Coturnix japonica: one gene and its partner. The protein of the gene in region 1 purifies or fractionates together with the protein of each later gene. This does not show direct contact. Links are inferred from orthologs where the notes say so. Each region holds a gene or a part of one and is shown in the gene's direction. Other genes may lie near its edges.

Evidence for each region. The genes of interacting proteins can lie anywhere in the genome.
Region 2: the proteins of USE1 (region 1) and RINT1 purify together in Homo sapiens (co-immunoprecipitation; 3 studies listed by BioGRID and IntAct, counting the BioPlex papers as one, with this or other methods). This does not show direct contact. The link is inferred for Coturnix japonica from reciprocal best matches to the Homo sapiens genes USE1 and RINT1.

Annotation. Positions count from the first base shown.
Region 1 is NC_029543.1:3,207,551-3,211,297, reverse strand, and holds the start of USE1 (vesicle transport protein USE1), read left to right. Parts: upstream 1-914; 5' UTR 915-968; coding exon 969-1,070; intron 1,071-1,288; coding exon 1,289-1,338; intron 1,339-2,141; coding exon 2,142-2,220; intron 2,221-2,575; coding exon 2,576-2,728; intron 2,729-2,996; coding exon 2,997-3,015; intron 3,016-3,688; coding exon 3,689-3,719; intron 3,720-3,747. Other genes in the region: MYO9B (unconventional myosin-IXb), read left to right, coding at 44-489.
Region 2 is NC_029516.1:12,589,362-12,593,108, forward strand, and holds the start of RINT1 (RAD50-interacting protein 1), read left to right. Parts: upstream 1-1,138; 5' UTR 1,139-1,299; coding exon 1,300-1,476; intron 1,477-1,544; coding exon 1,545-1,786; intron 1,787-2,640; coding exon 2,641-2,814; intron 2,815-2,890; coding exon 2,891-3,040; intron 3,041-3,747. Other genes in the region: PUS7 (pseudouridylate synthase 7 homolog), read left to right, coding at 81-217. UniProt on the Homo sapiens protein: Involved in regulation of membrane traffic between the Golgi and the endoplasmic reticulum (ER); the function is proposed to depend on its association in the NRZ complex which is believed to play a role in SNARE assembly at the ER.

The DNA of each region.
Region 1 (3,747 bases):
GTTACATTCTTATGCATGCTTTCAGTGTATTGTTTCTTTAAAGGAATTACGATTTCTGGAGTCCAGTGCTGCGCTCAGAGCTCTGACGTGCCTGCCAAAGACATTTGCACAGTGCCTTCTCTTTTGCAAACCTCTTCAAGTTCTTTGTCTGCATCCCTGGCTTCAAGACGCAGATTGTCTTTTACACTGTCCAAGATTAAGGTGCCCCGTCGAACTCCAGTGATGCCAACAGCAAACATCAAACTTCCTCCTGGGATTTTCAAATGTACCGAATCTCAGGGCAAGGCTTCAGCTGATGAAGAGTCTCCAATAGTGGTGAGACGAAGGGAGCAGCCAGCAATACGAACTGATAAAGTCCACTCTATCTACATTGCACAAGGGTCTGCAATGACCCACCCTCAGGAACTTTTAGATGAATATGAACCAACAGCAAAAGTAAAACGGAGGTTTTCAGACCCTTATTCCCACCTTGTGTGTACGGAGAAGTGAAATACTGAAGCTGTCTGGATCTTTCTGAAGTTGACTTTAGATTTTTAAGGCTTTGAAGGCTGTGAACTTATTCATGAATGTACAGGTAAAGAAAAAATAGCGTCCCGTTTCTGCTGCCGTGCCTTCTTCCATTTGCCTTACAGTGGACTTTAATGGGACCAACAGTGAGTGTGGGTCAGTGTACGTTGCCTTAATTTTGTATGTTTTTATGACGACTTTGTGCGGTTTACAGAACTGTTCGTGTTGTAATAGCCTTAACTGAGACCAAATGTACAAAAATGTTCATTAATACATTGCACTTTTTAAAAAAATACACCAAAGTTTGTGTCTATTTATCGACGTTTATTATCTGCCTGTATCTGTGCTGTGTGGGGAGCCCCGCCTACAACGGCCGAGCGTCTCCATCACCTCCCGCCCCGCCCTAAGATGGCGCCGCCCGGAAGCGGTGCTGAGGTGGCTTCCGGTGCCGGCTGTTCGCAATGGCGGCGACGCGGCTGGAGCTGAATCTGATCCGGCTGCTGAGCCGGTGCGAGGCGCTGGCGGCGGAGCGGCGGGATCCCGAGGAGTGGCGGCTGGAGAAGGTGAGGGGCGGCCCGGCCTTGTGTTGGGGAGGGACTGGCCGGGAACAGCCCTCGGCCTTCAGCAGCATCATTCTGCTCCTCGGAATAAACAGAGGTAGCCCGGTGTCAGGGCGTTAAACCCCATTGCGCTGTCAGCCGTGCTGCGGCTTCTGCCGGGATTAATATTAATATCTATCCGCAATGCTGACTCCTTTCTCTCTCTCTCCTTTCTCTCTCAGTACGTGGCCGCCCTGGAGGACATGCTGCGGGAGCTGAAGAAGCAGTGCAGGTGAGGGCTGCCAGGATCACATCGTGGCGTTGGGGCCTCACTGCCCTATTAGTATAAAAACCTCCCTGTGTGATATCTTGGAGTTCTGATGGTTTTAAAACCATTCCCCCTTGTCCTGACACTGTCTGCAGCCTCACTTTAAGTACTGGGAGGCCACAGTGAGGTTTCCTCAGAGCCTTACTTCCTTCACCATACTTTGTGCTCTCTGGTGTCACCGTGGCCCTCCTGTGGATGTATTCCAGAAGTTACATGTCTTTCCTGTGCTGGAGGATACAGTCCTCCAAATGGGGCCTCACAGGAGCAGAGCAGTGGGAGACAATTCCCTCCATGCCCTGAGCCACCCCTCCCATCCCCCATTGATGCAGCCCAAGATGCCGTTGGCCCTTCAGGCTGTAAGCACACACTGCTGGTCTGCATTCAGTTTGTCATCTACCAGCACCCACAGCTCCTCGGTAGGGCCGCTGTTAGAGCGTTCTTCACCCAGTCTGTTCACGTATCTGGGGTTGCACTGACCCGAGTGCATCAGGCAGTTGCACAGCTGTGCCATGTTCACATACACGCTTCATTCTCCTTGTCAGCCTCGGCTCTGCACAGTGTTCCTCTGCTTGGCTGTGTCCTGAGCTGCTGCAGTCACAGTGCCTCGGCAAGGTGGTTTGAGGGGGTGCAGGTATGCTCCCAACTTGAGTCTATTTCTTTCTTGAAAAAGCCCACGTTGATTAATTTGATTTGAAGACTTTTCTAAACAATGGAAATTGGTAATGCTTTACTGCTTTTCACATGTTTTTTTTTCCCAATTCTAATAGCAAGCCTGCCCCAGAACTGCTCAATGAATACACACGTAAAGTAGACTTTCTAAAGGGACTTCTGGAAGCTGAAAAACTGGTAAGATATGTTAGTTTACCTTGGAAAAACTTAAGAGATATTCTCCTCTTAAACTCTCCTTGTTGCCTTGTTCCTACGCTTGCTTTTATCTTACATCCCAAGATAACACTTGTTAAAATCTTATCAGGCAATTCTCGACAAGAGTGAATAAATATATTGTATTTTGTTGAAAGAGGGTATTGTGTGAAGTCTGAAACTTCTTCCTTCCTTCTCCAAGCTGTAGTTTGCAAAATTCCACAGCCATTCCAGCAGCTGTGGAAGTGCTCCCTAAATCCTCATTGGCCATACATCCAGGTGGCCTTACGCTACTGAATGATGTTTGTGACTCTTTCTCGTTGGTTCTTCTTACTTACAGTCTTCATCAACTGAAAAGGCACTGGCAAATCAGTTCTTAGCCCCTGGGCGTACTCCTACTACGATCAAGGAGAGAACCCCAGCTTCCAAAACGGTTCATCTGCAGACCAAGGCTCGTTGCACAGGCAAGATGAGGAGTGAGCTGCTTGGTACAGTATGTTCTGGTGCTGCTGCTTCTCTACTATTACTTTATAGATGGTCTCTTATGACATTTGGTTGCCTTTGGTGGCTGTGCCTCAGGTACATCCTAGGCTGGGGGTGGAGTCACCTTTTGTTTTTCCTATGGATAACCTAAATACTGGGCACAGGTGCCATACTGTGCATGGAGGCCCTTGAATCTGTGATTCCATGTGATTGTTCCTCATGAACCTTTTCACTGGCCCTTTGTAATCTTTTCTTTTGTTTCTCTTCCTGCCTCCCAGGATCCCTTGGCTCTCAGTGGTAAGTTCAATCTCCTTTTCTTTAATTGACCTGAATTTTATGAGTAAAGAAAGAGGAAAGTCAGGTGTTAGAGGTGTATTTCTAAATTACTGACTCACTTCTTGTCAAGATATAAGATATAAGATATAAAAGAAACACTGAATAGGTGAGAACATGAGCAGTGTTACCTGTACAGCAGAGGAGACTTGCAGGAATTCATGCTGAAACAGGTGTTTCAATTGTAGCATTAGCAAGGAGGGTTTGTGTTTGTCATTGCCAACGTTCTCTTCTGCTGTGAGCAAACCGTGTGATCTCAGGAGCTAACATACAGCCACGTTATTCACGTAGGGAACTGGTAGGATTTAATTTGTGGTTTCCATAGCTACTGTAACAGTGGCTGGAATGAGGCCAGTCTGAGTGTCCTGGAAGAGAACAGCACAGCCCATGGGCGAAGCCGAGCCCTCAGGGAAGTGATTCATCTCAGGTGTTTTATTCTCCCAACCAAACGTTTGCTGTTATGTACTGTCTTTTCCTGGTGGAAAACAGACGTTTGAAATCCACGTTCCCTGGTGTAGAACCAGGCCAACTGGGATTACATCTCTGGGAAAGAAAATCTTTCAAGGAACTTGTTTTATCAGCCTGTGATTGTGCAGTGTTGAGTAATATGCTAAAACAGCATTTATTTTTGTTCCAGATTCTGAGGAGCTGAATGTAAGGAAGCGGAAGTAAGTCAGAATTCCTTATTTTGATGCT
Region 2 (3,747 bases), on another chromosome or scaffold:
TCCGGTTTGGATGGCACTCAGAGTAAGCATTATTTATGTTCTTTACTTTCTTTTTGCTTTGTCTCTCCTCTTTACGATAGATGGTAAATTCCGGGCACTGAAGATGGAGTTCTCCCTTCCGCCATCCACTTACGCCACTATGGCGATCCGAGAAGTTCTGAAGATGGACACAAGCATTAAAAACCAAACGCAGCTGAACACTACCTGGTTACGCTGAGTGAACTGCTGGCACGGCCTAGATTTTAACATGTACAAAGTGTTTTCCTACTTACGTTCTGTACAAATCTTTGAAGGGTGGCAGTGAGAGATTTGTATTTTTTAAGTTTTTATTAGTGCAAGCAGTTAAATTAAGTAGTTATTAGCAAGATGCCGGTTGTAATGTAATACGGGCCTTAGTGACTGGTGCTTTGTAACGAATGGACCATGAGGTCGCTTGAGCTGTGTTGCTGCATCTCTGAGAAGCAGGCTTATGGCTTCTGACCTGGGCACATGTTCGTCTCGCTCTGTTTCAGCGAGCAGTGAATGTTTTTATCAGTTCAGCACACCTTGAGATCTCTATATTAAAGTACAGCATTAGGAAAATTAGAGCTGAGTGAAGGTACTGATGGCTGTTTGCTTCCAAGAAGCTGCTGCGGTCAGCCGGGCTGGCTGTGTGCTGCCACAGGGCACAGCTGTTTTAATTAAACACGAGCTTCTTCCGGGGAAAATGTGTGCATTTTCAGCTTCACCAAGACAAGGTACTGGGAATAGTTAACCAAACACAACGGTGTGTCAGTCCGTAGCGCCTCGCTCTGTCCCTGGCTGAGCCAGCCTGCTGCTGGGAGGCAGAACGAAGCTGCATTTTAAACGATTCTAAACCAAATAGGGAATTCGTGCTGCTTGTGTGAATAAAACGCCGTGAACGGAAGGTGCTCCCGGCTCTGTGCTCCCTGAGGTGGGGTTATGGGGGAGCTGTGTGGAAGGGGCGGGCGCGGCCATGGGGGTGGCTGAGGGGGAGGCGGGTGCGCATGCGCCTCTGGGCCCGCCCCGGCTGTGATGTGTGCGGCCTTGGGCCGCGCTGTGCTGACGCGGCGGGGCGGGGAGCGAGGGGCTGCGGGGCCGGCGGTTTGATATTGCTATTAAAGGCCTCGTTTTAAAGGCCGGCATGGCTATTAAAGGCCTCGTTTAATGTTCAGGTGAAGAGGAATCGCCCTGCGTTCCCAGGAGCCCCGTGTCCTCAGTAGGTCGGTAGTTGGTCGTGTTCCCTTAGTGGTAACCAAGTAGAAATTACGTAAATAACATTGCGGAAAAAAAGAAGGCATGGCAGCCGTTAATGTGCCGAAGAAAGAAGTCGTCAGAGATCCGGATCGCTGCGATATCCCGTACTACGTTTCAGAATTTGTGGAAAGAGAAGTTGGGAATGACTATGATTCTCTGAAGAAGCTGGGCAGCCTCATTGAGAAGCTGTCTGAAAACAAGAGGCAGCTGGAAGAACAGGTAAGTGTCTGTGCTCATTCTCCGTGTGATTTTTCTGTGTGAGGCTTAATGCATGTCTGTAAATGCAGGTTCTCACGGTTTCATCCGAAGTCCCTAAAAGAATTCAGAACGCCTTAAAGAATGCAGAGGACTCAAAACAATCTCTGAATCGGCTTCTAGAGGAAGAAACTCTCCTGTCCGATTCCATCAGCAGCCACTTAGAGAAAGCTGAGCCGTGGATGGAGGATCTCGGGGTGCTGATCAGCCAGGTGGAGGAGATTGAGCATCACCTGGCCTATCTGAAATGGATTTCCCAAATAGAAGAGTTAAGGTAAAGCCGATGTACTTATGGAGAGTTCTTACTAGTGGTATCACACAGCTTCTTCAAAGATTCAGTGTTAAATAATCACATTTAAGGAATAAACGAGAGCAGCAAGTTGTCATCTGGCCATATAAACTGTTAACGTGTTCTCTGGTGAGAACTGGAAGTTATTGCTCTGGCTTAAGGAAGAGAACAGTAACTGTGTCGATATGTGGATGGAACTCTTTCACCCACTGTAAATTATGGTGTAAGAACTAAAATAATACTGGAATATCTTGAGCGGAAATGTTACGCTTCAGACTTCGTGATTCTGAGTTTTCATTCTGGTACACTGATTTTATCGTAATGGGAATGAACAGTGCTGTTTTAGTTAATGTGATTTGTAGCTTCCTTCAGTGGAAAACTTTGTGTAATGCTTGTAAAGAATGTCAGAAATTGGAAGATTCCTTTGGGTCAGATTTTGTACAGAGAGACTTAAGTTATGAAACAACTTGGTCTGAGCTATGAAAATGTGACAGGTGTGCTGCAGTCTGAAATTTGCTTCCAGTTTTCCTCCTGGGAAGCGTGAGGAAAAGCAGATCTTTGAACAAGTTCCATAAAGAGCAGTGCTTCAAAGAACTTCGGGCCTCCCTTCTTTCCTTCTGCCTTCAGGTCTCGGTGACAGGCAACTTAAGGAACTTCACACAAAGAACTTGTTTCGTGAATCCTTGCTGTAGGATGTATGTGATGGGAGTGGTAACCTCGTTAAAGTATTTCAGATTGAGCATGTTTTCTGCCAGTTTCTCAATATGATGGTTCTTTTGTGTTATCTTTAGTGAATTTTTGTCTCAACTCTTCTTGTATTTATGTTCTTGTGTTCATAGTGATAACATTCAGCAGTATCTGATGACCAACAATGTTCCGGAGGCAGCCAGTACTCTAGCGTCTATGGCAGAACTGGATATTAAACTTCAGGAGTCATCTTGTTCTCATCTTCTTTCGTTTGTGAGATCCACTGTTAAATTTTGGCATAAAATTCTTAAGGACAAGTTGTCAAGGTACAGGACGACTCATCACTCCCTCATTTCATGTTGTGCCGTAGCTTGGTGGTAAAGTGTGTGTTTTGTGTTGCAGTGACTTTGAAGAAGTGCTGACCCAGCTTCGTTGGCCATTTGTGGGGCCACCGCAGTCTCAGGCGTTTGGCCTTACTGCGCCAGCCAACGCTTCTGATGTTTACAACAATTTAGAGGTTTTGTTCTGCCAGCTTCTGAAATTGCAAACATCGTATCCTTTAAAAGTGTAAAGAAAATTGCCTTGGGGGTGTTGGTTGGTGCTTAGCTAAACATGAGCCAGCAGTGCACCCAGGTGGCCAAGAAGGCCAATGGCATCCTGGCTTGTGTAAGAAATAGTGTTGCCAGCAGGAGCAGGGAAGTGATTGTACCCCTGTACTCAGCTCTGGTGAGGCTGCACGTTGAGTACTTTGTTCAGTTTTGGGCCATTCACCACAAGAAAAACACTGAAGCCTTGGAGTGTGTCCAGAGAAGGGCAACAAATCTGTTGAGGTGTCTGGAGCGCAAGTCTTGTGAGAAATGGCTGAGGGAAGTGAGATTGTTCTGTCTGGAGAAGAAGAGGCTCGGGGGAGACTTCAGCTCTCTCTACAACTGCTTGAATGGAGATTGGTGTAACTGGTGATAGGGTGAGGGAACTGTCTCAAGTTGTGCCGGGGGAGATTGAGGTTGAATATTAGGAACAATTTTTTCTCTGAAAGAGTGGTCAGGCATGGGAATGAGCTGCCCAGGGAGGTGGTGGAGTCACTGTCCATGGAGGTATTCAAGAAACATTCAGGTGTTGTACTAAGGGACGTGGGTTAGTGGAAGAATATTGGTGGTAGGTGGGTGGTTGGACTGGATGATCTTGGGAATCTTTCAACCTTGGTGATTCTGTGGTTCTATTCTGCGATCCTGATCTGCCTTTGAGGTAAATCAGAAGAT